7 linked regions of the Daphnia pulex genome follow. The protein of the gene in region 3 purifies or fractionates together with the protein of the main gene of each other region. This does not show direct contact. Links are inferred from orthologs where the notes say so. Each region holds a gene or a part of one and is shown on either strand. Other genes may lie near its edges. The genes, in order: CTD small phosphatase-like protein 2, carboxy-terminal kinesin 2-like, importin subunit alpha-1-like, E3 ubiquitin-protein ligase Ufd4-like, nuclear cap-binding protein subunit 1-like, nuclear pore complex protein Nup153-like and GTP-binding nuclear protein Ran.

Evidence for each region.
Region 1: the proteins of importin subunit alpha-1-like (region 3) and CTD small phosphatase-like protein 2 purify together in Homo sapiens (affinity purification with mass spectrometry; 4 studies listed by BioGRID and IntAct, with this or other methods). This does not show direct contact. The link is inferred for Daphnia pulex from reciprocal best matches to the Homo sapiens genes KPNA2 and CTDSPL2.
Region 2: the proteins of importin subunit alpha-1-like (region 3) and carboxy-terminal kinesin 2-like purify together in Homo sapiens (co-immunoprecipitation; 4 studies listed by BioGRID and IntAct, with this or other methods). This does not show direct contact. The link is inferred for Daphnia pulex from reciprocal best matches to the Homo sapiens genes KPNA2 and KIFC1.
Region 4: the proteins of importin subunit alpha-1-like (region 3) and E3 ubiquitin-protein ligase Ufd4-like purify together in Homo sapiens (affinity purification with mass spectrometry; 3 studies listed by BioGRID, with this or other methods). This does not show direct contact. The link is inferred for Daphnia pulex from reciprocal best matches to the Homo sapiens genes KPNA2 and HECTD1.
Region 5: the proteins of importin subunit alpha-1-like (region 3) and nuclear cap-binding protein subunit 1-like purify together in Homo sapiens (co-immunoprecipitation; 5 studies listed by BioGRID and IntAct, with this or other methods). This does not show direct contact. The link is inferred for Daphnia pulex from reciprocal best matches to the Homo sapiens genes KPNA2 and NCBP1.
Region 6: the proteins of importin subunit alpha-1-like (region 3) and nuclear pore complex protein Nup153-like purify together in Homo sapiens (co-immunoprecipitation; 4 studies listed by BioGRID and IntAct, counting the BioPlex papers as one, with this or other methods). This does not show direct contact. The link is inferred for Daphnia pulex from reciprocal best matches to the Homo sapiens genes KPNA2 and NUP153.
Region 7: the proteins of importin subunit alpha-1-like (region 3) and GTP-binding nuclear protein Ran purify together in Homo sapiens (affinity purification with mass spectrometry; 3 studies listed by BioGRID and IntAct, with this or other methods). This does not show direct contact. The link is inferred for Daphnia pulex from reciprocal best matches to the Homo sapiens genes KPNA2 and RAN.

The regions. Positions count from the first base shown.
Region 1 is NC_060021.1:11,134,968-11,138,848, forward strand, and holds CTD small phosphatase-like protein 2, read right to left. Parts: upstream 2,544-3,881; 5' UTR 2,370-2,543; coding exon 1,653-2,369; intron 1,596-1,652; coding exon 1,366-1,595; intron 1,301-1,365; coding exon 1,174-1,300; intron 1,105-1,173; coding exon 1,009-1,104; intron 945-1,008; coding exon 879-944; 3' UTR 501-878; downstream 1-500. Other genes in the region: protein KTI12 homolog, read left to right, coding at 1-52, 122-184, 267-479; uncharacterized protein YJR141W-like, read right to left, coding at 3,105-3,881. UniProt on the Homo sapiens protein: Probable phosphatase.
Region 2 is NC_060023.1:9,698,238-9,702,180, reverse strand, and holds the start of carboxy-terminal kinesin 2-like, read right to left. Parts: upstream 2,801-3,943; 5' UTR 1,947-2,800; intron 1,875-1,946; exon of another isoform or gene 1,871-1,874; 5' UTR 1,825-1,870; coding exon 1,674-1,824; intron 1,612-1,673; coding exon 1,459-1,611; intron 1,404-1,458; coding exon 1,338-1,403; intron 1,265-1,337; coding exon 1,066-1,264; intron 1,009-1,065; coding exon 714-1,008; intron 655-713; coding exon 252-654; intron 185-251; coding exon 1-184. UniProt on the Homo sapiens protein: Minus end-directed microtubule-dependent motor required for bipolar spindle formation. May contribute to movement of early endocytic vesicles. Regulates cilium formation and structure.
Region 3 is NC_060028.1:48,995-53,010, reverse strand, and holds importin subunit alpha-1-like, read left to right. Parts: upstream 1-1,216; 5' UTR 1,217-1,369; intron 1,370-1,602; exon of another isoform or gene 1,603-1,640; 5' UTR 1,641-1,663; coding exon 1,664-1,726; intron 1,727-1,792; coding exon 1,793-1,961; intron 1,962-2,021; coding exon 2,022-2,169; intron 2,170-2,228; coding exon 2,229-2,484; intron 2,485-2,541; coding exon 2,542-3,094; intron 3,095-3,158; coding exon 3,159-3,436; intron 3,437-3,617; coding exon 3,618-3,719; 3' UTR 3,720-3,964; downstream 3,965-4,016.
Region 4 is NC_060020.1:92,536-96,035, forward strand, and holds part of E3 ubiquitin-protein ligase Ufd4-like, read right to left. Parts: coding exon 2,191-3,500; intron 2,075-2,190; coding exon 377-2,074; intron 287-376; coding exon 1-286. UniProt on the Homo sapiens protein: E3 ubiquitin-protein ligase which accepts ubiquitin from an E2 ubiquitin-conjugating enzyme in the form of a thioester and then directly transfers the ubiquitin to targeted substrates.
Region 5 is NC_060022.1:6,378,315-6,382,541, forward strand, and holds the start of nuclear cap-binding protein subunit 1-like, read right to left. Parts: upstream 2,801-4,227; 5' UTR 2,677-2,800; coding exon 2,646-2,676; intron 2,581-2,645; coding exon 2,303-2,580; intron 2,248-2,302; coding exon 2,054-2,247; intron 1,987-2,053; coding exon 1,815-1,986; intron 1,755-1,814; coding exon 1,533-1,754; intron 1,473-1,532; coding exon 1,372-1,472; intron 1,311-1,371; coding exon 1,139-1,310; intron 1,075-1,138; coding exon 907-1,074; intron 847-906; coding exon 594-846; intron 535-593; coding exon 401-534; intron 335-400; coding exon 10-334; intron 1-9. Other genes in the region: uncharacterized protein LOC124196162, read right to left, coding at 3,669-3,856, 3,946-4,104, 4,195-4,227. UniProt on the Homo sapiens protein: Component of the cap-binding complex (CBC), which binds cotranscriptionally to the 5'-cap of pre-mRNAs and is involved in various processes such as pre-mRNA splicing, translation regulation, nonsense-mediated mRNA decay, RNA-mediated gene silencing (RNAi) by microRNAs (miRNAs) and mRNA export.
Region 6 is NC_060021.1:252,442-256,534, reverse strand, and holds the start of nuclear pore complex protein Nup153-like, read left to right. Parts: upstream 1-1,293; 5' UTR 1,294-1,575; coding exon 1,576-1,647; intron 1,648-1,713; coding exon 1,714-1,957; intron 1,958-2,028; coding exon 2,029-2,124; intron 2,125-2,186; coding exon 2,187-2,474; intron 2,475-2,558; coding exon 2,559-2,704; intron 2,705-2,766; coding exon 2,767-3,118; intron 3,119-3,178; coding exon 3,179-4,093. Other genes in the region: double-stranded RNA-binding protein Staufen homolog, read left to right, coding at 1-188, 253-339, 400-498, 581-682. UniProt on the Homo sapiens protein: Component of the nuclear pore complex (NPC), a complex required for the trafficking across the nuclear envelope. Functions as a scaffolding element in the nuclear phase of the NPC essential for normal nucleocytoplasmic transport of proteins and mRNAs.
Region 7 is NC_060020.1:1,358,597-1,362,057, reverse strand, and holds GTP-binding nuclear protein Ran, read right to left. Parts: upstream 1,983-3,461; 5' UTR 1,830-1,982; exon of another isoform or gene 1,773-1,829; intron 1,645-1,772; exon of another isoform or gene 1,547-1,644; intron 1,416-1,546; 5' UTR 1,403-1,415; coding exon 1,160-1,402; intron 1,102-1,159; coding exon 913-1,101; intron 854-912; coding exon 638-853; 3' UTR 501-637; downstream 1-500. Other genes in the region: NFATC2-interacting protein-like, read left to right, coding at 141-415; uncharacterized protein LOC124192239, read right to left, coding at 2,814-3,461. UniProt on the Homo sapiens protein: GTPase involved in nucleocytoplasmic transport, participating both to the import and the export from the nucleus of proteins and RNAs. Switches between a cytoplasmic GDP- and a nuclear GTP-bound state by nucleotide exchange and GTP hydrolysis.

The sequences.
Region 1 (3,881 bases), on a different chromosome or scaffold from region 3:
TGCAGCTCTGTACGAAAGAAAGGCCCCAACTCCAAATCAGTCCACACAATCAGTACATTCAATGATCATTTGTTTACTTGAATTCTTTAAGTTACTGTTTTCTTAACTTATTTATTCACAGCTTCCTCTTACATCAACAAACTTCCTGTACGAGCTGGATTGTGTGACACAAGAAATAGTAAATGTAAGTTCAAGCAAGGCATTATTACATAGGTAGGCCTACCTAGCTCACGAATAATAAATATTTTTTTTTCTTTTTTTTCCAGCGAGTAGTCGAGGCTCAAAAAACGTGTGTGGTCGGGGACGAAGTTTCTATCCCAAACTCGAATGAGAAGTTTCTTTTAAAACGACGCTATCAACTGTCAGAACTTTCAAGGATCAGGCGGCAGTTTATAAGTTTTGCCAAAACGCATCCAGTTGATGATATACCTAGATTAGCCGCAATGTTCTTTCAGTACCTAACGTCTCATTTGGTGTAAATAATGTACGATATTTCCAACGACCACTGTTATTTCTGTCTATTAATTGTTTTACCATTCACTTCTCGATTGAGTCAACATACACAACAAACTGGGGAGATGAACGAGGCAGCAAAAGAGGAGAAAAAAAAATAACCGGGGTTCAAGTCAGGCAATGAACAGCCAGGTACACCTGCTAAATTTGGTCTCTAGTGTGTATATAGTTTACACATAAAACATTCGGCTAAAACAATAGCCGAAAACCATTTAAAACGCAACAAAAAGTTGCTCTGCCAGAGAATAAATGCTCATGTTTTCAAGAAATAGAAGGTCAGAGTCTGTAGACAAACGGTCCGTTTAAAAAATAATTGAGGATGTCAATTGCACACATTGAGTATTCGCTAAATCTTCTGTCTTTAGTTAATCAGGAGGCAAATAAGAGAATAGTCTGTACTTTTCACGTATATACGGCCGAACATCTTGATTCTAAAAGAAACAAAATGGATATTTTAAAATGTTTAAGACAATAATGCACATTTTTCAAAATTACCATATTGACCAGGTTTACAAGAAACGGAATCAATTTCAAAAGTTCCTCATCTGTCTGGTCTACAAACCAGCTTTCGATCGGAATACCATTTTCAAGCTGAATGATAAAAATGGATTAGTTTTTAACGAACAAAAATGAATGAAAAATGAATGAACGAAAAATTACTTGGTATCCAAATGCTTGGGGTGAGTTATCGATGATAATTGTGCGCGATAAGTCGCGTCCAAGGATAGTCAAATCTTTAATATAATTACCGTTAACACAAACGCAATGTTCTCGAAACAACCGATACCTAAAATCAATGTAACGTGAAAAAGTTAGTTGGAAAGCAAATCAAGAATTAATAAAATTCCATACTTGATCCAACGACGCTGTGGATCCAACAAATTTAATAACTTGTCAGCATAAACTTTTTTGGACGCGGTAAACAAAATGACTTCGAAAATTTGTGACACTCGCTCGAGAAATTCCCGAAAATGTGGTCGGGTTCGTACAAACACCTGGTATGTCGTATCCTGAAAGAAGACAGGAAAACTGAAAGCAGCATCTTCCAATTCCTCTAAGCTGCAGTGCACAAGTGTTTCATCCTGTATGAGAAATATTCATCAATAACATGCTTGGAAAACCATGAATGGTTAACTTACAAGATCTAAAACCAGTGAAAATGTGGGGCTGCTTCTTGTTTTCAGCGGAAGAGCTGGGCACTGTCTTTGCATTTGAGGAGTCAAAGGAGGAAGATGCTTGATGAAGTAGAATGGATCAAATGGCTCGATTTCAATTTCTTCTCGCCTGATGTATGTTGTTTCATCAGTAACAGGTGCTTCATGGGCTTGAGTGATGAATACTTCTTTGGTAGACATTACTTCTTCACAAAGGAGAAAATTATCTTCTGTTTCATTTTCGTTGCTTGCAGTATAGACAAGCTCCTGCGTACAGTACAAGTCTGTAGTTGTACCAACTGCACCACCATTCTGGCAGACAGATATTTCAGGACTATTCTCTTTTTCATCTTGATCCGTACTAACTACAACACTCGCAGGCTCCATCTTTGCTGCAGTTTTAGAATGACTCTTGGATGTTCTCTCCAAGCTTTTGGACTCGATCAAGACTCTTGTAGATTGTACCATTTCTGAGGAAAAAGATTTGTTATTTCTGTTCAAAGCTGCTTTCCTACTGTTAACCGATGAAGGGGAAATCCTTGTCCCACCGCGAATTTTGACACTTCGTTTGGCGCGTTTCTTGCTGCGCGGCGACGGCTGCTTGGGTAGAACAGAGTTTGGTGGAGATTTGGGCGCCGAAGCTTTCGCTCTAGCTACCCTTTTAACTGGCGATAGCTTTTTCCTAAGACTGCGAGTGATCATTTTCTAAACTAATTTTTCCAAGCCCTAGTTACGCTCTTGAGCTTAACTTGGACTCGTAGTTGAAAATGTATCGAAAGTCTTTCGACAGTTGAAGCGAAAATGCAGAACCAGTCAACCAAGCGCCCAGTGCGCCCTCTTTTATGGATGGCCTACTTTTCGGAAAGCTATCTGTGTACTACGGCCGAGATCCTTTCTATTTTCAGACGTCCCAAAAACCGGTGCCAGTATCAGAGACACGTAGCGGCCAATATTGAACCATGGTATTCTAAATTGCTAAATGCGCTTGATTATTTAAAGTTGAATAACAAAGTATGACCAAAGACAATTGAAAATAAACTTGGTGTGCTTCACTGACCTTCAGTAGACGTCGATCAATAAAAATACATGAAAAGTGGTTAAAATTTTATTCTAGTTTCGGCTTTTCACCACCAGCATGCTCTGATCCTCGCCCACCATTCAGTAAAAATTCGTTGGCCTGAGGCTACTAAAACAGCGTCACTAGAAGGCTTACTCTACTCTACTAGCTCTATTGCTCATATCACCAATTTTTTCCTTGGTAATTTCGATTTCAGAAATGATGTAATAGTTTTCGAAATTTCAAATTGTCAACAAAACAATGGCTGTTGTAATAGCTAACATAAAAATTACAATAGGTTTCGTAAAAATTAATAAACGAAATTGTGTTTCCTGTAAAAGGTGTATTGATTGACAAATGGGCGTGTCTTTGAAACATTTTCACGAGGAAAGAGACAGATAGCCTATGGAGAAGCCAGCGGCCGTTCGACATCCAGGGGGAAGTTGCTCGGAACTATTGCGCAATACCGACAAGGCACTATTCATCATCTCTCTGCTCACTTGGTATTCAATCACGTCGTTGGGAATTTTCTTACTTGTCGAATTCTCCGATTTGTACAATACTTTATGGAGTGCACTTTGACGCAGTTCGATCTCCGATGCAGATTCCTTGGAATCAAGGGTGAATCCGTTGTCGCCTACAAACCATAAAAGGAGAGTCTGACCGCCTCCTACACCATCTCGAAAGGCTAGCTTCCGACCAAAAAAAGATTTTTCTTCTTCTAATGCATCGTACAGTGTGAAATAAAAAGCTTGCAGTGGCGTCGTTACGTCTTCTATCATCTTCCATTGATCATTTTCTTCAAGCAGAAACCATTTGATGGAGTGGCACCATACATTCATAAGGCCTTCTTCCATTAGACCTACAGAGGCTTGACATTTAGAACATAATAATTCTCTGCCTGCGGTTTCCAGGCTCCCTTCAATGAGCAAACTCGTCGTGAGAGCATGGTAACAACTTCCAAACAGGCAATCGGTTGAACGAGGTACCAGTTGATGGTCTGCGTCCCCCTCATGTCGATGGCAATACCAGTCGGAAGCGGCTTCACTCCACGATGAACGAGGCAAAGGCAAAACACGCTTGAAATTAGAACGATTGATGAGAACAGATTGACACTCAGCACACTGGACGCGGTAATCTTTTCCTATAATCGGATG
Region 2 (3,943 bases), on a different chromosome or scaffold from region 3:
ATTCGAATATCGTGAACTCCTCCAGAAGGACCGAGTAGATCGCGGATTTGTTCATTGTAGATCTCCAAAAAAGAAGCTTCGATCTTGTAAGCCCAACCTTTGGCTCGAAGGGACTCACAAGCAGCAAAAATTAAACGCACAGAGCGTGGAATCATCCCGTCTGATTCAGACCCAGCAGTTCCGCCTGTAGAAAAATGAAATAGAACCACATTTAGTTGGTTTCTTAAACAGAAAATAAAAGGAAAACTAACCTTCCATAGTAAAAGTTTTGCCAGAACCGGTTTGCCCGTAGGCAAAAATGCAAACGTTGTAACCGTCCAACGCCGATTGAATAAGTTGAGAAATCTCATCGAAAACTTGCTGTTGAGTTGCATTAGGACCAAACACTCGATCAAAATTGAAGTCGATTTTTGAAGGTCCTTTGCCACTTGCAGGAGCATTCATTGAGCTTTCATTCAAAGTCATGTCAGCATTCAGTTTGTGTACTTCCAGAGACTTATCGTGTAAGACGTTTAAATGCGCGATTTTTCCTCCGGGCAATTTGTCCGAAGGAATGATGGGTCGGATTCGGCAAAATACGCGGATGTTGCCTTTCAGTTCTTGAACTGTGTTGTGTAGTAGACGTCTTTGAGTTTCTTCTTGCCGAAGTCGAGCCTTGAAAAAAAAAAAATTTGTTAAAAAAAGGAATAATAAAAATCATTTCTAAAACTTACTTGTAAGTCTTGAATTTCTGCTGTTGCCACAGACACATCATTTCTTAACCTAGCATTGTCAGCTTGTTCGATTGTTAAGTGGCGCTGAAGAGACTCCAATTCCGCGCGAAGACCAGCGGAGGCTGAGCTCATCTCAGCCATTGAGCATTTTAATCCAACAACTTCTTTCTGAGAGGCGATTAGTTCACCTTCCAGACTAGTCCTCTCACGCTCAATAAGACCTTTATGGAACTCCAATTCTCGAATCTTATTTTCCAGCAGAGATTTTTCAGTGGCACTCGACATCTCTAAGCCCCTGCAAATAAGAAGAGAGATTATTAACACATAAATAAAGAAAAGCTTAATAACTTACCTAATTTTACTCTTCAAAGTGTCGATTTCATCTGACAAAATATTCACTGCACTTTCCTTGTCCTTAATGTGGACCTCGAGGTTCTTATTGGTAGAGTCTAACACAGTGATGGTATCCTTCTTCTCGGCATTTTCGGTTTCCAACTCTCCAAGGCGCTTTTCGATAATTATCATCCTACTTTCCAGAGTTAGAGGTTTGGCTAGAGTAAAGTGAACAAACGAATTGTCATCAAACCAAAAAAATTTCTTGCATGAATTCAATCTTTTACTTACGTTTAACACCCTTGTTGGTGATGGCATTTGAAATAGAGTCTGCCTTTTTAGTAATGTCACGGGCAGCTATAAGAGAATTACTGTAATTATGCAGTTTAAGGAAGAAACTTGTTAAACAAACCTGTGCGGCCAAGAGTTGAAGATGCATGAGGTTTGAGGGCTGTCGATAAACCCCTACCCACAGTTGTTGATTTTCCATTTTGCCCAGTAGTGGCCAAGTTAGTGACTGATTTTGAACGAATCAATGTACTCGATGACTGGTGGCTACTAGCTGCTGGAGGGAAAAATAAAAAGCAATGAATTGAAATGTTTTAAAGCAATAAGAAATTCACTTACTGGTTGAAGCATCATCTGTTGTTCTTGGACGCTTTTCAATTGGTTGTACTGTTGACACCTCTGGACCTCGTCGTTTGGCAAGATTAGATAAAGAAGAGGAAGTCGAAGGGGGTTTCAGTCCCGAAGTAAAACCGGGTATCTTGCTAGCCATTTCTTTGTTTGGTTGAGGCGTAAGTGGCAACCGTTGGTAAAATAGCCTTTCTCGATTTTGACAAAGAGTTATCAAACTGTTAGTCAAACTGAATGTGATAAGCAATCTTATCTATAACTTACAAGAAAGCAGAGTAGAGTCCTCAACTAAGTTTAAATGAATTTGTGCAATGTAAGCAAGATTACTGTAAGTTGAAATCCTTGTAGAACCGACAACCGAAATAATTACGAAGGGTTTTCTTCTGATGCAGTAATGCAGATGATGCCTTTGAATTAATGCCACAAGTCGTTAACGGCAGAAATTCGAATCAAGTCGGCGTTGCCACTTTGAAATAAATCTATATGCGTCCTCGACGAACTCGAACGCCACCAAGCGGCCAGGCATTCAACCAGAGTAATAGCAATAGCATAGTAATTAGTAAATGAATATCTTTGCTCTGTGTAGGTAATATATACAAAATACATTGCTCTATTTATTTAGGAAAAATATGCATGATTGGTCCCCGGATTTCGGGGGCCAATAGTCAAAATAGCTATTGGGCCCTGGCACCAGGGGAACCCGGGGAAAGGACATGGCGTGTGATATTCGTTGAATTGTTGTTAATTCAATTTGGAAGTTATGACTAAATTATTTTTCAAACCATAGACCAAGGGGATGCCTGTCTTTTACTCGAAAGTTAACACCATCGCATTGAAGTTCTAGAATGCACGCAACATAGCCACGTAAACATAGTTTCACAGCTTCTATATTTATAACTGTTGAATAAAACTATGAAATAACTTCTAAATCGAATAAACATCGGATTTTACACGCCATATTTGTGTACTGTAAAATGGTGTCCCTTTGGTTGCAACGTTTTCTGGGAATGGCGCTGTCTACCAAACTTCCATCGAACAAGGTAAACGTCATTAATTTAAGAAAAGAAAAACAAAGTTGAAGTTGTCCTTAATTTTAAATAGCTGGACAGCCAGCGACATCAGAAACAAAAGACTGCTGTGAGGCGCGGCCTTATCCCCGGGTAGAGGCCAATAGGCCCGACCTTTATTCATTTATCTATTCTCTGATTCAACGCAACCGCAAATCCGCACTCATATTTCAGTCAGAATCTCTGTTTGTTTGAACGAATAAAATTTCAAAATAAATAACGCGAATAAAGTAGATGACCCACACGGTTTTATTCTAACACAATATGCGAAAAACAAACCAAACTTGTTGATCGAGTATTTAAAACGGGAAACAATGTTATTGCGCATTCAACCAGTCGTTTTCTAAATGCAGATAGCAAAATTGATCAAAAAACAAGGTCGTTTACGGTCAGTATATATTTACATAGAAATAACTGTTCAGCACCATGCACAAATGAAGTTATTGTCCTGAACTCGGGGCGTGAAGCGGTGACAAAGAAGCTTGTTCCGTCCCCTAAAGACACAAACGATTCTTACAATCAGTTCTATTGCACTGGCGATCCGCCAAGATAAAGCTTGAAAGAATTTTTTTGTTTTATTTAAAAAAAAAACTATTTAAATCCAATTAATTTTTTTTTAATGTTTATTACACCGTCCACATCATCTGGCCGCCAGTGCACTATAGTCCGTTTTGGCTATTTTACTGGCGGTACAAGGGCAGATACGTAAAAGGCAAACTGATAGGCAAACTGATAGGCAAACTGATAGGCAAACCTTCATGACAATTTTTTTTTTTTAAGGATGTCGTGCATAAAAATAACCATCATAAATTTGTATGTATATATAGGGGAAACCGGGGCTGTGTGGGGCTACATGGGCCATCTCAGTTTTGAGCATGTTCCCGTAATTTTTTAAATATTTTTTAAACCATATTTGGGCATTTATCATGCCCCATGTTTGTTAAAAAAAATATTAAAATAAAATTACTAAATGCTCAAAACTGCGATGTCCCATGTCCCATCCCTGTCCCACACAGCCCCAGTCTCCCCTATATATCATATAGTAATATTTATCTGCCCTTGTACCGCCAGTGCAATTGCCAAAATGGACTTTAGTGCATGGGTTAGTGAACAAAAAAATTTGTTTAAGCCTGGTTTAAGCTTCATCTTGCCTGTTTTGCTAGATTTCTCAAGCAATAAAATGCGACATAAAAC
Region 3 (4,016 bases):
TGGACGTGATACGAATGTGTTGGAATAAACACCAACTGCAACACCAACTTTGCAGGGTCGTTGTAATCCAGTTGAACCGATGACGGGAGTTGCAGCTGTTCACGTTGGATTTCTCCGTTTCTTTTGGAACTGCCCGGCGGATTGCAACTAATTGTGGGGAAATTGGAAATGAAAAGGAATTTTAGAGTCTATTAGCACACGTGACCTAATCACAGAATATGATTAGTTTTTAAGAAACGTATAGACTGAAAAATGTGTTTAACGTATTACGTGCACACTGTCCAGCACGGATTTTACGACCACCTGTGTCGGAATTAGCGATTCCAACTGAACTATATTTGGTACGCTCTGTTGATCAAACTTGTCGAAAGGCTAAACGGTCCCCTCTTGCAGTCGGATGAAACTGATTTTTAAAAATAAAAGTTATTTGCCTGCCACTGATTTAATAAATTAAATGAAATAAGATATATAACTTGAATTCACAACTGTTAGTGTTTAAAGCAATTAAAACGTTTTAATTTCTACAGAAAGTTTAGAGATCAGACAAGAGACATTGTAAATCTAAATTTCATTCTGTATGTTTGGTATCACAGCTAGGCCTACCTCATTTCGTTAGGAAGATGTATTAAAATGAAGTTTCTTCCATACTTTATCTGTTGATTCTGTTCACACTGATTTTGGATGATACTCTTACAACTGATGGAAAATTTGGTCTGAAAAATATTTGAAAATTTAGTATAAATTAATTTGGGTTGTGGGAGAAAACTTTTCTTTCTTCCAGATGGCAGTCTAAAGTTTAAGCTTTCAGGAATCGGCTGGCACTGGCTGGTATTCAAATTTTTGCCACTTTTTTAGTTTGGAAAACAGTTTTATATAAATTGAATGTTCAAGATTACTGGATCTATATTTGTATAACTTCTTCCTGCCAACATAAAAATTGTTGATGCTAGTTTTATGAAAACTGTTTAAACCAGGGGAGAGATCTCTGACACTGTCATTTGGACATCATCATACATCATGTTCTTAAAGAAAGACTTCCAACAGATCATTAAGTCAGAAGGTTAATTAATGAGAAATCCTATGGTAACAAATTCTTATTAAAATCAATTATCAATTTCAGTTAAATTCTATTATGACCAGCTCCATCGGCGTTTTTCATTTTCTGCTTATTTTGAAATTTTAAATTTTCTCGTCTGCTTATACGTTGCCAGATTTGATCCCATTCCGATTGCATCAATGAATAAATTTGGCAACAGGCAACGGTTAGGTTTGAAATTCCCTCCCCCTTCTTCTTCTTCGTCGTCTGGAATTCTCTTAGCGATCAAACGGTCACCATTCATCAATTGATTCTTGCTCACAAGTCCCGCAGGTAATTCCTCTCTCTATTAATTTTCAATTTTTCTGACATTCCCACGTGGAATAATAGTTTACTTCTTGCTTCGACTATAACAAATTGTGAAATAATGGTATGAGTCATCATTGACACATTTTTAACGACTGCCATAGTCTGGGAAATTTTGCACGTGGCGCGGGAAATTTTTTCTCTTTGTTGCTTCATTGTCTCGAGTCCCATTTCTCATTTTTCTTTTGTCATTGTGCCAGATTTGAAAATCCCTTTTAGAATTCTCTTTCTTTGACAGCTGGAGTAAATTACACTATCACAATGCCTACTGAAGCAAATCCCAGCCGGTTGAAGGACTTCAAGAACAAAGGCAGAGATGTTGAGGTAAATACCTTAAAATAACTAGTGTCAGTTCTCAAATGTAACAGATTTTTCATCTTTCTTGTTCAGGAAATGAGGAGGAGACGTACAGAGGTGAATGTTGAGTTGCGGAAAGCCAAGAAGGAAGATCATTTGTTGAAGAGACGTAACCTTGAAATCGATGATGAGCCCCTCAGCCCACTCCAAGAACAGAATCGGATGGCTGCAGCAAATATGAGCATTGAGGACATAGTCAATGGTATGTGTGCATCAGTTTTTATTTCTGAGTTGCTTCTCATATGTTTTTCATTATCGTTAGGTATCAACAGTGGTGATGAGAACAAGGAGATCACTGCAACCCATGCTGCCCGTAAAATCCTCAGCAGGGAACGTAATCCACCCATTGACATCCTCATTAATGCAAATGTTGTTCCGAAGCTGGTGGAGTTTCTCAGTCGTGTCAGCAAGTATGTCAAGTGTCTCTTTTGGTTTTTGAACATTTCCTAATGGTCTTTCTTTGTTTCAGCCCCGATCTGCAGTTTGAGTCAGCCTGGGCTCTCACCAACATTGCTTCAGGCACATCTGACCAGACAAAGGCTGTCGTCAGTGCTGGGGCTGTCGCTGGCTTCATTTCCCTGTTGGGGTCACCTCATCCAGTTGTGGCAGAGCAAGCTGTTTGGGCTCTGGGTAACATCGCCGGAGACGGACCAGAGCTTCGTGATCACGTCATCGAGCAAGGCATTATCAAGCCTCTGCTTACTTTGATTAAACCTGATACTTCGGTGAGTTTTATTTTAAATTTACGTTCGTGTGCAGTTGTTAATTGATTTGATCTATAGGCCACATTCTTGCGTAATGTCACTTGGACTTTGTCCAACTTGTGTCGTAACAAGAATCCTCCGCCCAGTGTCCCTGCCGTCCGGCAACTGCTTCCCGCATTGGCCCACCTGATCCACAACAACGACAAAGAGATCCTCGCCGATGCTTGCTGGGCTCTTTCTTACCTCACCGATGGCCCCAACGAACGGATTCAGGAGGTTGTCGACGCCGGTGTCGTCCCACGGCTGGTCGCTTTGCTGGACCACGTTGAGGTGGCCGTGATCACCCCCACTCTGAGAACAATCGGGAATATCGTTACAGGAAGTGACATTCAGACCGATTCCGTCCTGGCTGCTGGTGCCTGCCCGTTGCTGGCCAAGTTACTCGTTCATGCTAAGATGAACATCGTCAAGGAGGCTGCCTGGACCGTGTCCAACATTGCTGCCGGCAATGCCATCCAGATTCAGGCTCTCATCACCAACAATGTTATTCGTCCGTTGGTGGATGTGCTGGGCAAAGGTGACTTCAAATGCCAAAAGGAGGCAGCTTGGGCCATCACCAACATCACTTTAGGTAACTTATTTCATTTTTACTGGTGTTTTATTGATTTTTAATTGATTTTTCTTATTCATTTCAGGTGGCAATGTGGAGCAGATCGCCTTGTTGTGCCAGTTTGGTGCCATCGCTCCGCTGTGCACTTTGCTGGAGGCAAAGGAACCCAAGACCATCTTGGTCGTGCTGGATGGATTGGCTAATATTTTGGCCGCAGCTGAGAAAATGGGTGAATTGGAGAAAGTTTCCCTTCACGTCGAAGAGTGTGGTGGTCTGGACCGCATCGAAGCTCTGCAGAGCCACGACAATGTTGAAATCTATCACAAGTCATTGGCCATTCTGGAGCAGTACTTCTCAACTGACGTAATTTATTCTTTTTTTATTGTTTCTTTTTTTGGGTTTATTTCAATGATTACCACAACTGTTCACATTCATAGTGTTTGTGCTGACAACTTAACCATTACTGAGATTTTAGAAAATTAGTTTTATTTTGAAATAGTGTTCTTGAATTTGATTTAATCGTTTTTGTTTGTTATTTCGACAGGGGGATGAAGATTCCGAGTTGGCGCCATCTACATCGCAGAGTGGCAATTACGAATTCAACAACTCGCCATCTCAAGCCCCCGAAGGAGGTTTCTCATTCTAAATTTTGTATAATCTAAAAATTCTTTTTGATTTTTTTCTGCCTTTACAACGGTAAATATATTCTTCACTTTCTTGAACGCTATCCTAATCATGAGTTTTGGCCTTTTCTTATTTCAAAGTTTTTTTCTAAATTGTTTTTTAATTGAAAGTTGCCATTTGCTTTCATTTCTGTCCATGCACGACGTCTTCTTTCCTCTTTCTCAATGCGCGATAAACGAGCAATACAAAACAACTCGATCAACTCTACATTTGATAAGTTTTGATTTTGTCGTGCTAGTTTTTATTTTTTGTATTTCAA
Region 4 (3,500 bases), on a different chromosome or scaffold from region 3:
TCGCTGACTCTCGGCCGCCACCAGAGCGTAAAACTCGAGCGACGGACCCAGGCCCGTCCCTTCCTCGTCCTGGAATTCAACCTCCAAAATGGCCTTGCGGTCGGCGTGGACCTTCATCACCTGCTGAGCCCAGTCCAGGAGCCGCTCGCCGCGGGGCACTCGCACACGCTCGTGTTTCAGCCGGCCGACGCGGAACTCGTGCGGGTCGTCCCGTCTGGGAACGGCGCCCGTGTTTCTCTGCCTCTCGACGGCCGAATCGCGTTGACTCTGCAGCCAAACGATCGATCTGAAATGCCAAAGAAATAAGAGAAAATATGTTTGGTTAAAAAGACGAACGGACGGACGGAAAAACCGAATGGACCAATTCAAAAATTACCGAGAAGTGCCGAAAGCGTTGGCGTGAAAGTACATCTGGCGCGTCTCGAACGGAATCAAAATGGGGCAGACGGTCAGGAGCTGCTCGCACCAGGCGGGCAGGGCGCCCGACGACACGACCAGAGGGTCGGAAAGTTGTTGCATCAACTTGTTGGTCACTTTCTTGCTGCTAAACTCCTCCAGCGGAATAAAGATGGTCGGACTGTGGTGCGATTGATGCTGCAGCTGCTGCTGCTCCACATCCGACTGCTCGCCGGCGGCCGGTGGCCGGCTGCTCAGCACGTAGAGCTGCCGCAGCAAAAGGAGGACGTCGCCGACGCTGCACGAGCCCACCGTGTTGCTCGTCTGCGTGTTGACGTCAAAGTCGGGCAAAAAGAGTTCGTCGTCCATCAGTCGGCGCTGTCCGGCCGCGTCGCCCATCGCTCCGCCCGTCGAGGGACCGACGACGACGACGGCACCGGCCTCGTCCTTGAGCTCCTTGTAGACGAGCGTGTAGGTCGGCTCCCAGATGCGGCGCAATTTCTCCTGGCGGGTGCCCAGGGCCGAGGCCTGGATCAGCTTCTGCACGGCTTTGAAGACGGTCCAGTCGCTGTCCGTCAGCTCAATTTCCACGTCGGGGATGTTGGGCAGACATGGGCCGCGCAGGACCAGGTGCAATTTGGGTTGCGGCACCAGATCGGCGTCGGCTTCCACGTCCATCGATTGAATGACGGACTGCTGCTGCAATTGCTGGCCGGTGGCCGAGAGGCCCGACGAGGACGGAGACGAAGAAGTGGTGATGACGGCTTCGGCTCCTTGCGCTCCTTCGGCGGCTCCGGGTGGCGGAATTTCAAGATCGGACGTTTGGTGAACGTTGGTACGGCCCGGACGGGGATCAAAGGCCGGAATCAAGGCGGAAAATTGTCTCTTGAGGACGAATTCGTCGTCCCAACTGCGTCGCTTCGTGTTGCCGGTCACGTGTCGAGATCCGGCTCCGCTGCCGTCGCCCGCCCCGCCCACCAGACTGCTGACTCCGCCTCCTCCATCCTCTTCCGTCACTTCCTCGAAATCTTCATCGTCTTCGTTTTCATCGTCGTCTTCGTTGTCGTCCTCGTCCGGCTCGGGCAACTCGTCGTCGTCTTCCAGCTCGGCCAGCAAAGTGCCGGCCCGGCAACTCTCCAAAAAGTCCTCCAAACTGACTTGCTCAGAGTCGCTGGAGCCCGTCAGACTCATCGACAGCGCCTGGCTCAATCCGTGGCTGCTGCTGCTGCTCGTCTGCTGGTGTCCCCCCTGGCCGGCACCAGCGCCGCCGTGGGCGTGGTGCAAGTTGGTGGAAGAGGCGCCCGCCATGGAAACGGCGTGGCTGGCCACCGACGAGAGGCTGCTCAGCGTGTTGCTCAGACTCGGGTAGCTCTGGGCCGTGCTGAGCAGTCCGCCGGGGAAGTTGGAGGACAGGGCCAGACGGACCAGACTGGACACGGAATTGGGACCGCGAGGGAAGAGCAGCGACGACGAGGCGTTCGATGACGAGGAAGACGAGACGTTGACGGCGTTGGTTCCGCTAGCGCCGTGGCCGTGACCGCCGCCCGCCATTGCGCCCGCTCCGCTGTTGGATCCGCTGGATCGATTGGCATTCGACAGGTCGACGGGTGAGCCGGAAGCGTTTCCTCCCGATGCTCCGCCGCTTCCACTGTTGGCAGCATTGCCCGCTTGGTGGCGTCTGTCACACAAAACAAAAGAGAGAAATCGAAATGAGTTGAATGATTCATTCCGGGTGGATGCAACTCGTAAGTGGCTGTTAATTTTGAATAATAATAGTCAAACTCATCTCTTTACCTTCGGGCCACATTAGCGAAGCTTTCGAGGAAAGCAGCTGGCGTGGGTCCGCCGCCCACTTCTCGTTCCGGCTCTGATGACGTCGTCGTCAAATTGGGGACGCTGACGCTCATGGAACCAGACGTGCGAACGCCAGAAGCGGCGCCGGAAGCCACTTTGACCGACTGGGAGGGAGGCGAAGGAGGCGACGACATGTCGTCCTGTTCGTCATCCGCCTGTTGTTGTTGTTGCTGTTGCCCGGCTAATTCGACGTGAGAAAGGGCCGACGAGGCGGCGGCCATCGTTTCGGCTTCGGCCTGCAATTGACTGGCCTGTCGTTCCAGGCTGCGGAGCAGATCGAACGCGTTGATTTCCAGCATTTCTTCCGTCACGTCGGCCATGAGCGAATCGTCGACGACGATGCCGTCCAATGCGGCGGCTGCGGCCGCTTGACTGGCCGCCGACAAGCTGATGGATGCGGCCGATGATCCAGTGGCAGCGCCGGAAGAGGTCAAGAGACTCGAGTGATCCATGAGTTGAGTGGCTGCAGCTCCCGTGGCCGTCGCAGTCGATTGTCCAGCCAAATAAGTGTTCTTGGCGTTCTTGTGACTGTCGGAAACTTGAGACTCGCCGGCTGCTCCTTCGGCGGATGAGCCGCTGGGATCCATCAGACTGAGGGCCCCCACCAGGGCGGCGACGGCCGTCGAAGTCGCTTCGTCGTCGTCTGTGCTCTGCGTTCCCGTGCTGTCGCCGCGGACGCGCTCGAACGACACCAGGCCGGCTTCGGCGCTGGCCAGACTCAAAACACTTTCGGCCACGGCCGAAGCGGCGGCCGTTGATGAAGACGACGAGGTCAAGAGATTATCCACCGAGGTGGCCTGCTCCGTCGAAGCCACAGAGGGTTTCACCACTCCGGTGGCTTCCGGCAAACTGGGGGTGGAACTGGATTTGCGGCTACCAGTCAGGGCGTTGCCGGGTCCGGTGCTGGTCAAAGTTGACGTCGGGGTCGAAGATTTGACGCCCGTGGCCAGCGAAGTGCACGATTTGTCCAGGTTGATGGTCTTGAGGGCAGAAGATGTTTTGCCCGCTGTCGACGACGAAGCGGCGGCGGCTGTCGTTGGCTGTTGTTGCTGGGCGGCGTCGGGATCGTACGAAGGCGCCAACCTCAGATCGTATTTGCCTTCTGCTCCCATCCGGTAGGAATTGGATCCGCCGTGATCCCACTGGACGTCGATCCAGCCGTTGTGCAGCTCTCCCGTCACCAGGCCTTCGGCCGGCTGGGCCAAACCTCCGGCACTGGCCGCCGCCGCAGTGGTGGTGGATCCGTCCTG
Region 5 (4,227 bases), on a different chromosome or scaffold from region 3:
TGTTCGCACCTCTAGATGGATCTTCATCAGATGATTCCGAATCAGATGGTGCAGCTCTGAGTTTAGCGCGTGCATCCGCCACCTCTTTCTCTAGACGGACGACGTGTTTGTTCATTTTGCGAATAGTCAAGTGCAAGACCTCCCAAATGTACGAACGAGTGAACTCGGGTGCCATGTCTCGTGAAAAGATCCAATTTGCTACGGCACAACACTCAACAATTTGTGTCTTTAACATCTTATCAACTACCACTCCTAAAAATTGTGGGTGGTGTTGCCAGAGCTCATAAACTTGACGAAGCATACAGATCTGTGCCTCTTCATTCTCACAAATATTCTATGACAGAAACGTAAAATTGAATCGTTTTATACTATCGATAACATTTCAATCTGTTGAAAATACCTTGAAGACTGAATGATATTTAGCGAGACCTGCAAAAGTATGCGTAAAACTCTTCGATCCCAAATGTAGCAGAGTCTGAACAAATACTTCAATTGCTAGAGGATTGTGTGAAGGCTCCATATCCCCGTCGTCATCTAATTACAATTGCATCAAAATGGCTTGAAGTTATACATATTGTATCCACCATATTTACCTTTGAGAGGATTCGGTAGTTGCTGGACCAACTCTAGTACTTCTTCAGGCGTTGGCTTTTTTCTTAGGAGCTCAGTCAAAGTCTGGACTTGAGCAGCCCCAGGAAAACCATTTCCTCCTTCAATTTGGTATTTAAAGTACGGTTCTGGTTTCGGGGGCAACAGCGGTGAGTAACATTCAGGCACCATTTCAGTCACGCGCTTGTGATAGGAGAGTCTCAAACATTTCCCGAACACTTCAGAAACAAATTTTGCCTGAAATTTAAGTGTTCCTTTAGATAGATTTCGAAAAATTTCATTTTTTTAAACATTTACCTTGGGGTGGTCTTTTTCGAGTGAAAGACAATTCTGCCAGTCATCCCAACTCCAGCGGAATTGAAAGTTACTGAGATGGTAAGAAAACCAAGAAACGAATCTATCAAAGCAGGTGGCATTCATGGTATCAATTCTTTCGTAAAGCAACTCCGTAGCCTGTGCTAACACCTGGTTGTGAAATAAAAAGTCAAATGAAAATGTTCAAGTTTCTACTGTAAGATCATATTTTCACCTGAGGCATTGTACTTGGTTGAAGCTTGCAAAGTTCTATCAAAGTACAACCATAAGCAATCTCCAAGTAACGAGGGGAAGGCATTTGGAAAAGTTCTGAGAAGAGAACTTCAACTATCATGTATTCCAAAGGGATCTTATTTCTCTGTGGGAACGCCAACAATTGGGTGGCTCTGAAAAGCAAAATTAATTTACTATTATCTGCACAAACGTTTCTGTCAAGTTGAAACTCACAGTTCCTTGCGTTCGTTATGATGACGAGTGATGATCTGGTGTAAATGTTCCTCAATCAAGTAACGCTCTACTGAATGAGTTCCTGGTAAAAGTGGACCAGCCTGAAAATGAGTCCCGAGTTAAATACGCACGATACACACTTTTGAAAGCGTTTAACTTACTTCTGGACAGTCAGTGTAATCAAACATCCTGAAAACAACCCATGGTAGCGGATATTGCGTACTAGCTGTGTGAGGCGGAGGTAGAATGACCGGGAGATTGTGTTGCAAAGCTTCAGAGAGGATAGAATCAAAAGCTAAATATGGACGGTAAATGTGTCTTTCCTGCCACTCGTCTGTCCGCAATTTCCGTACTTGAGCCCAAAGACATTCCAGGTATTCTTCCTAGAAAGAACGTTTTTCGAAATTTTTCAATTATTATTAAAATGCCATGCCATTTCTGACCTGTGGGTGCGGAGTTTCACAATTCCAAACTCGAAGAGCAGCGACATGAGCAGTATTTCTTCTGCGAAGATAACCTTCCATTGCTGCCATTATACGTTCAAGATCATTTTCTTTCTTTTCAAAAAGCTCTCGACCAACCCAAGGAAGCGCCGTCAACAACGCATACATGTACCTGTAAATTGATACAGTGTTGTGATCTACATTACTCTTGCTTTAGAATAAAACAAAAATTTAATTACCAGTCTCGTCGAACCTGAGGAACTCCTTGTTCCATGGCAGCGTCAATAAAACTGTCATATAACTGTAGCAAGGAAGAGGCAGAGACTATGTGACAGTTGACCATGTCAGATATGAAACGTACAATTAAACGAGCAGATTCCCATTGCCCCTCACGGAGAGCTTCTTTTAGGTTTCTCACTATTTGTTCCACAAACTAAAAAAAGATATACTTGTATCTTAAAAACTGAAAGTACAATTTTAAAACAAACCTCTCCTCCAAAATTATAGTTTTTAGCATTCAGAAGACCAACTAATGTGCTGTAGATAGTACATTTCTCTGGCATTTGGATTGGGCATTCCGACAAAATACGTAATATTTTACTCTTGTACGTGTTCAAATCAGCTTCTAATACTGAAGCAAGCCCTTCTAAATTGCTTTCTAAAGATGATGACGTTTTGTCTCCAACCCTGATAATAAGAGATTCTAACCGGTCTTCAATTTCTGCCTGCTCCGAGACAACTCTGCGCCTTTTACGATACCCATGTTCTGTAATTTTAAACAAATAACTTTTTATAATGTCATCAAATTCTTCAATAAGTTGTAATCCTTACCATATCCATCATCACGTTTCCTACGACTCATTCTTTGATTTTATTTTAAATTGGTCTACGACGCTTACAAGACAGACAAACTACTACCACCCTGTTTGACTGTTTGTCATATGGAGCTATTAAAGAAGCTGTTAATTTGACGCCATCTATTGATGAAATCATAAACTTCGATGATCGTGAAAATAGTTTACATAACTTGACAACGTAGCTGTAAAAATTGTTTATTTTAGGCAACGCAATTTGGCGCAAAAATTCAATTCAGTTTATATTCAGCTGAATTGAATTAAATTCACGCAAAAATGGGATTTGTTGAATTCAATTTAGGTGAAATTGGCTACGAATGTCGGACGATTCGGCAAAAACCATTTCGGCAAATCGCCGAAAACCGTTTCGGCAAAGTTGCCGAATTGTCACCTATGAAATTACCGATTCGGCAAAAGTCGATTCGGCAACTGTGCAAATGTAAATTGGCGGCAAATACTGTGGAACCCAATTAACCCCACAACGTTAGCTAGGGCTGTAAATCGGGTAAAAGCAAAGCGCACTGCTAAAAACCCAATTGATCTTTTTTTTCAAATCAAAATGGACTTAATGCCCACTTCGTTTTTTAAAGGAGAAGTTGTAGTTGGTTCTAAACGTCATTTAATTTTCATGACTGACGAACAACTAGCGCTTTTGAAAACTGCCGTTCGATGGTATGCCGACGGAACCTTTAAAATAATAAACTTCCCTTTCACTCAACTATTTTCCCTCCATGGTTTTCTAAAAAAGAATGGGCAGTTAAAGCAGGTTCCACTTTGTTTTGTGTTTATGTCGGGAAGGGCTCAAAGATCTCTCGGGAAAGACAGTATAATTCGCGTGTTGGTGGTGGCGCTGATTACCCGAAACCCACACAGCTAGCGCCACTGGCCTTACAACGGCATTTTAAACAATTTTGCCGAATTGGCTTTTTACCGAATTGGTATGTACGATTCGGGAAAATAACAAAGTCAACCAATTCGGCAAAAACCAATTCGGCAAACGTCAAATTTGCCGAATCGTCCGTATACCTTGGCTACAATTCACAACTTGGCTCGTAGTGCAAACTGTGGATGGAATGGAACGAACATCAGCTTGATGAGCGGCATTGATTAAGCCTGCAGGATTGCTTGACACACAATAACTGTCATCCGTTGAACTAGTGGATAGGCCTACAGATTCCGCTGCATTGACTACAATACAAAAAGAAATGATTAAAACGAAGAGTGAATAATAAAATTAATGGTGAATGGAAGTATGCTAACAACCACATGAGCCATACCTGGTAAAGAATTGTTCGTACTTGAGTCTCTTGTACGTGTGCTCTCGGCCCGTTTACGGCCCGCATTCACACTTTTCTCCACAGCAGGATTTGTTGTTGATGGGACACTACTGTTATTCACTGAACTGGTGGATAAAGATTCCGCTGCAATGACTACAACTTGAATACAAAAAGAAATGATGAACAATGAAGAGTGAATAATAAAATTAACGATGAATGGAAGTCTGCTAACAACCACATGAGCCATACCTGGTAAAGAATTGTTTGTGCTTAATCTTTCAC
Region 6 (4,093 bases), on a different chromosome or scaffold from region 3:
CAGTTGCTGTTGAGACACTCTTACAGGATGCGCCACTCTCCAACAGCAATTGCACAGGTCGTCAAATGGTTCCGGGTCTTCTTTTATTAGGAGGCGGACAGAGTAGGAAAATTGACTCTCCATTCATAACCGATTCATCGAATGCCACTGGAATTAAAGAAACTACTCAATCGTCTCGTCCGCCCAAGGCATGTTTTTCTTATGCCTCTGCCAACACTTCTTAAAATCATATATTTATTACTTAATCTTTAGACTTCTGGAGGGTTGCGCCCGGAAATACGTCTAAGGTACTTGGCCCAAGTACTGGAATACGAGGTCGAGTTTTCCGATTTTCCAAAGGTAATAAACATTTTAAAAACTAATTTTAATTTACTGTTGGAATTAATGTAATATTATTAGGGCAAGAAAGGAGATTTCGTTAGCCTTGTGACCTTGAATACAAATCCTCCGCAAGTGTCGCACGGACTTGGTGCCACTTTGGAAGAAGCCCATGATAACGTAATCATAACTTGACTATATTTTGGCAATCAGCTTAAGTTAATTATTTAATTGATGTTCTTTTTGTTAATTCTTTGCACAGGCTGCTTCCAATATGATGAAATTGCTTTCTGAAGGGTCTCAAGATGACACCGTTGGTCCCAACAAAGAAAACGCAGATCAACGAAGCACAGGACCCCAATAATTTTGTTTTTCCTATAATGCCCTGTTTGATATGTTGAGATTTGAAATGAGATTGTCTCATATCTATTTAATTTAGTTTTTGTGTCATTTAACTTAATATTCAAGCACGCTATCACGATTTTTCTTTTGTTATTCATTTGTGGGTTTGCAGTCAAAACTATTTTTCTTTGTCTTTCACTCTTTTTTTCCCCCTTCTACATTGTACACGGTTCAGCTTTTTATTTCATTATTTTTCATTTAACGGTTATTTGTATTTATTTTCAAATAAAATCAGGAGCTTATCTCTTGCTGACTCTTTATCATGTGTGGAAGAAAAAAAAAGAATTTTGAAAATGAATAATCTGTACCGTTGACTAAAAGAACGAAAATCAGAAAAAAATGGGTGCAAGTTCTAAGATTATGCAATCATACTGATCATACTTTTACGTAATACTGCACTACTGCATTAAAGAACTTGCGTTTTTTTTTACATGGCGCAGCGTGATACCTATATTTGCAGCACACATTACTAGTGGCTGTTTTATGTAACAGCGCTAGCCAAAATGAAAATTAATTTCATGCATGGGGGGAGGGGGTTACCGCATGCGAATTAGGCAATTTCTTTTAGTTCGATCGGTTGATTCATCGAGAATGGTCGAGAAGGGTTCCGCTGGAGCCAAACTATAGCCCGTCACAAACGCCCTCTACTGATAAATTTATAAGTTCTTTGAGCAACATCGTTCTTCATTTGTTTCTCGTAACCGCCAATCAGATCTTTCTAAACTTAAAAAAAATCCGCCATCTTTTCTCGGCACTTTTTTCCTCGCCGCGTGTGGGTCGTGGTGCGACGGGTTAAAGCTGTTTTCTTGCAACAGTATCTGATTTCCGTATTGATTGATAATTTCTAAAACAGTCATGTGGGAAGATAATTTAGGTAAAGTCAAGGCAAGGCGGAGCAAAAATTCAAAACCATACGAAAGGCCCAAGGTAAGACTAAAATACGTTTGTGTGAGTTTGTGAAACCCCAACTATATCCGGCTTTTTGTCTATCAGTCGATTTTGAGGCGAGTAACAGATTCAGTTACTGGATTGTTACCACAACCTTCTTGGCTGGTGAATTGGTTACAATCTACATCAGCTAAAAAAGAAGATAGTGAAAATGATGAAGTTGAGGAAGAACAACCTGTGCCGTCAACCAGTTCATCCAGCAATGGTAACAGCTCCCACCGAGAAGGTGTTGAAAGAGAGTCCTTCATATTTCGCAGACCACCTGGGACATCCAAAGAACAAAGCAACAGTAAGTTTTTTTCATCAATGTTCTGCTCCCTTCAAACTGTGTAACACATGCTTCTTTTTTTGTTTGACTTGCAGTAAGAGCTCGTCCAAATGTCCCTTCTTTGGACTTACTTCCAGAGCCAGTAGTGGTTGAATCAAGTTCAAGAGAACAAATCGTTCAAACAAATGGTTTGTATTAAACACTGATTTTCAAACTTTTATGACATCTCACATCTCATTTCCTCTGACAGGTGATGATGACTCCAACTCAGAGTCAACTAGCGGATGTTCCTCATTGTTACCACATCTCGAGCATAAGAGGGAGAGCAGAAATATAGAACTATCAAGTTTGGGAGTTGCTGAACCTCTCTCTATTAATCAATCTTCACTGCAAATCATTGGAAGCTCTTTGAGCAAGTCCCTAGCAGTTGACCTAAAAAATAGCCGTGGACGCAAAACTCTCAGCCTTCATACTTTTGGTCATGATACAAGTTCAGGTATAACTCCCACAGAAGAATCAAGGTTCCACAAGGATACAGGTAGATTTCTAATGACATTTTCATCATTTTGTAGTCAAGAATTTTGCTTACAAATGAGTCTAATGTATTGTTTTTGATTTGTAGAAGAGGCTAGTGGCTCATTTTTCGACAAAGACGACACTTCACTCAATCGTTCAGCTGCCAAGCGAGACCTTTCCCAACCTCAACTTTCATCGTATGGAAGCAAGAGACCACGCTTCAATATAACTTCATTTGGACCTACGGCTGCTGTAAGTCTTGAATTTAATTTACTAACAAAGTCTGGACTCTATTCTTTTATTACTTCCAACAGGAGGCTAGGCGGTCTTTAATGAACGAGAGTGTTGTAGACTCACCATTTTATGCTGGTAAGACGACTTACGGTGGTGCTTCAGCTTATCGCCGTGCCACTTTACAACCTTCAGCTGCACTATTCCCATACGTGCGAAGTCGAATTCAGGCTAGGCCTGCGTCTTCAGCTCCATCCACTTCGAGTTCTGTTGCTTCTACCAGTTCGTCAAATGTTGTACTTAGTAGTTCAGCGCAACGAATCCTTCAAGCACTCGAAGCCATGTCAACACCAGTGAGAGATGCAAAAAGGATTCCTGCTGCATCCAACAGTAAACGATCCACTTCTTTACAAGGCGAAGAACTTTCGTTCACTGGTAAATTGATAAAAGTTATGAATTGCTTAACGTTATAATAATTTCGCTTTGTGTTTAAAGGGTTTGGTTTGAGTCGCCGACGTCCAAATTTGGGACCTCCAACTTCCAAATTATCTGTCGGTACTCCGGCACAGATTGTCACCCGACCAGCTCCAGCAAACTTGTCTCAAATAGAACCAGCACTAGTATCGAGCACCCCCATCAGTGCCCAGGTTGGTGGCAAGATGCGAATGAGGATGTCAGCACCACTTCGCAAATCGGCTCCTCGTATTCGAGAGGATGAAGATGTAGAGTCGGAGGAGCTCACTGCTGTGCCAATGCCCATTAGTATAGCAGGTCTACCTAGTTTCAACTTGCTACCTCCTTGCTCGGTGGTAGAAAAAGCAACTGTTGTATCGACGAAGACTTCAGTGAAAACAGCAGCAGTAATGAGTTCCAATGGATTGGTTAGTTCTTCAATGACGAGTACCTCAACACCTCGTCCAGCTTTCACGTTTTCAGCACCGTTGGTTACCGTCAGTCCGTACAAGGTAGATGCAGCCGTCAGTTCGAAGCCGCTCAGTTTCAACTTCAGCTCCCCATTGCTCGTCAACGCTTCTCCGAAAAAAACACCAGAGAAGGAGACTCCAACTAAACCCGCAGAAGTGGAATTGAAATCTGGAAGTGTCCTTGATGTTCTCAGAGGGAAAAGTCAAGAAGCTGTGCCCGTTTTGGAGCCAGTTATTAAGTCACCACCGGTTCTTTCAGGATTTGGAGATAAATTCAAGGCACCTACCGATTCTTGGACATGTTCTGTCTGTTGCGTTCCCAATTCCAAGGACAAATCTTCGTGTGTGGCATGCGAATCTCCAGCCCCCAATGCAGTAAAAGCAATGCCTATTGCTCCTGCTGCTGCTGCTGCTCCTGTTGCGCCTCCAACAAAAGGATTCGGTGATCAATTTAAAATGACCGCCGCTCAATGGGAATGTTCTGTGT
Region 7 (3,461 bases), on a different chromosome or scaffold from region 3:
CATTCAAATTACAGTCCATTTCAGCGTCATAAATCGGTTTTAGCAACCCTGGCATGAAGTCAATTGGTTTTCCAATGTAAAAACTTTGGACGATTGGGTTTGGTATTAGCGAACGTTGTAACAGTGCTTTTTTTTAACAGATGCTTCAGTCTGCAAAGAAGGAGTTGTCGTCAGCTCCAACGAAACATTGTTGGAGTTAAAGGTTCAGAGTCAGAACCGGAATGCACAAGTGGTTATATCAATGCGCCCCGAAGACCCTATGGCAGTTTTGATGCAGAAGTATGCGGAAGCAACCGGGATTGATTTGTCCAAATTGAAGTTTAAATTTGACGGCGAAATGTTGGAAGAAGATGACACACCGTCTAGTCTGGAATTTGAAGGTGGCGAGTGTATCGATGTTTTCATTAGAGAGTAGTTTATTTGTTCACTACATTTTTCTTAACTTTACTACTTTGTATATTTTCCCTTGCGCAAATAAATTATGCACTAATAAACAAAAATTCGAAAGACTTTTGTATTATGACGCACAATGTATTTTCATACCTCGCAAATAAAAATTGGTTAAGATAGAAGGCAGAAAACACAGATGGAAAAATTTGTGGGAGGGTGTAGTGGCTTAAATCCTAATATGTTGATGTTACAAGTCTTCATCATCTTCTGGTAGTGCAATGTGTTGAGCTTCCTCCAATTCACCTTCAATTTGCTTCTGCCAATTAGGATCCATCTGCACCTCAGGTGGCTGCAGAGCAGGCATAGCAACAAACTCTAGGTTAGGGTCTCCAATTAGCTTACGTGCTAGCCAGAGGAAAGGCTTTTCAAAGTTGTAGTTTGACTTGGCACTAATGTCATAGTACTAAATGAAACCAAAATTTAGCAAATTGCATTTACAATTTAGTAGCACAATTAACATACCTGGAGATTCTTCTTTCTGTGAAAGACAATGGATTTGGCCTTGACTTTACGATCTTTAATGTCAACTTTGTTGCCACAAAGAACAATTGGGATGTTTTCACAAACTCGGACCAAATCTCTGTGCCAATTTGGAACATTTTTGTAGGTGACACGAGAGGTTACATCAAACATGATGATAGCACATTGGCCCTGCAAGATAAATGAAAGTCAGTCGAGACCATGTGAATACAAGTATGCTGACATTTACCTGAATGTAATATCCATCTCTGAGACCTCCAAACTTCTCCTGACCAGCAGTGTCCCACACGTTGAATCTGATGGCTCCACGGTTTGTATGGAAAACCAAAGGGTGAACTTCCACACCAAGTGTGGCCACATACTTCTTTTCAAATTCACCAGTCAAGTGACGCTTAACGAAAGTGGTTTTTCCGGTACCACCATCGCCAACCAAGACCAGCTTGAAAGTGGGCATGTCAGGTTCGGCAGCCATTCTGTTGTAAATCCTACAAATAATGAGAAAAGATAAGTGAATCGATCAGACTTGATTGCGTCATTCAACAAGAATTTACTGGAACTTAATCTAACGACAACAAAATATATTTTTCTAAAAATTTACACACTCGTGAACACTTACAAGTTAACTGTCAATGTTTAATGTCAAGAGAAAAAAGGGACTATTTCAAACAACTACCACAGAACAGTTTTACCGCCACTGACTAGCTTAGTGCGTTGTCTTTGATGGAGGAAGATGACTGTTAGAGGTTACAACTTGAAAAATGCAGAATAAAATAACTATGATGACTAAAATACTTTCCATGCCGAATTAAAAAGAGATTGGCAAAAGAAACATTACTGCTTACTTAAAACAACGAAAAGATGAAGGATGTGGACAATATTCGAAGATAAATCTAACTCACCGGCGGTTTTAAGCTTTAGGTTCACAATCGCGCGGTTCTAATACCAAACTGGTCTCTAAAAATTCTGGTAGCGTAAAGGCTGGCTGAAAATGGGTGGCTCTAAAAAATTCCTAGCGAGATGTTGCCAAATTTCACTAGGAGAAACGGCGGGAATATTTTCCTTTTCTTTGAAAAAAAGACGGTTGGAATTTGAAAATGGAAAGTAGGCTGTAGCAGGGCTGTAGCTCTCTATTTCTCTAAAGCCTGTCTAAAGCTTTGAATGTAATTTATTAATGTTGAATTTCATTCAGGCCTATTAACGGGATGATGTTTTTTAATTTTTTAATCAACAATATATTTATTTTGTGTGAGATTAAAATGCTAAATGTGTTAATAAAAAGGATAGTAGCACTTAATTCAAATGAAATTACCTTTTAAAAGAAGAAAGAAATTCCTATAAGCATCACTGTATATAAATTAATTAATAGGACATTAAAAGACGTGGTAGCAGCATGATGAATATTTCTGTCAAAGTTATGATTGCTGTTTTTTTTGTTAGTCATTATTTCATTGTATGTTATAAAATCAACCGTTCGAAGAAAAATAACAACGGAGGCGATCATTCATACAAGCATCTGTATTTATTGATACGATGAATTTCTGGGTTACAAAAAATAATGGCGAGTTTTGTTTTACAAACAAAATATCAATGAACTATTACAAAATAATTTTCGGAAGGTTTCATCACAGTGTATAAAATCTTGGGAGATAAAGCTATGACGAACATTTTGATGCGATACCGGTTCGTTTGTAACTCAACGCGAAACTGACTACTTGAACGAGGATCCAAACAAAAAACGCAAGACAAAGGGGAATATGGGGATAGGGGGTTTCAGTAGTCATCACATTCCACATTGGCGAACTAATCATGCACACATAAAAATAAACTAAAATAATCTGAAATAAACATGGAACTCCAAGTTTTATCATATATAGTTATCAAAGTTAGGAGATTTTTTTATTTTTTGCAGCTTCAATGAACTTTGCCATCAGACTCTTGACAGAAAATGGGTCCTCTTTTTTGGCTCTTGTTTCTTTTTTTGTGCTTAACCTTGATGATGGATTTTTTCCAGAGTGCCCAAAGTGATTACTAGTCCTCTTGTTTTTGCAGTTAACATTCTTTGATGCCTTAAGTTTGTTTGATGTGATGGAAGGCGATGGGGCAATCAGACGAATGGTGGCGAATAAATTACCTTCTTCATCCACGTCTATGTCAACTTTTGACTTTGGTACCGAAGATGTAGAAGGACGACTCAATGGGACTTTTGTAGTAGCTTCTTGTGGTGATTCCAAATGTGAAGGTGCGAAGGGAAGCAGTCGAATCTCGTCGGGATCAATGACACTGGATTCCTCGAATTCAGATTTCACCAACCAAACCGGCGAATTGTGTTGAAGTAATTCAACTTTCACAGGCATAACATGCGGGGCCATTTTTGTTAATTTTCTGGGAGATTGGCTTACATTGGTTTCGATCAATCGTTTTTTTGCTTGAAGAGGTGTTGTTGTTTCGGGAAAATCGGAAAGAAGAAAGGGATTGGCAGTTATTTTCCCAGCGGCTAACGGTGGGTTAAGGACGGGAGCAACGAGAAATGG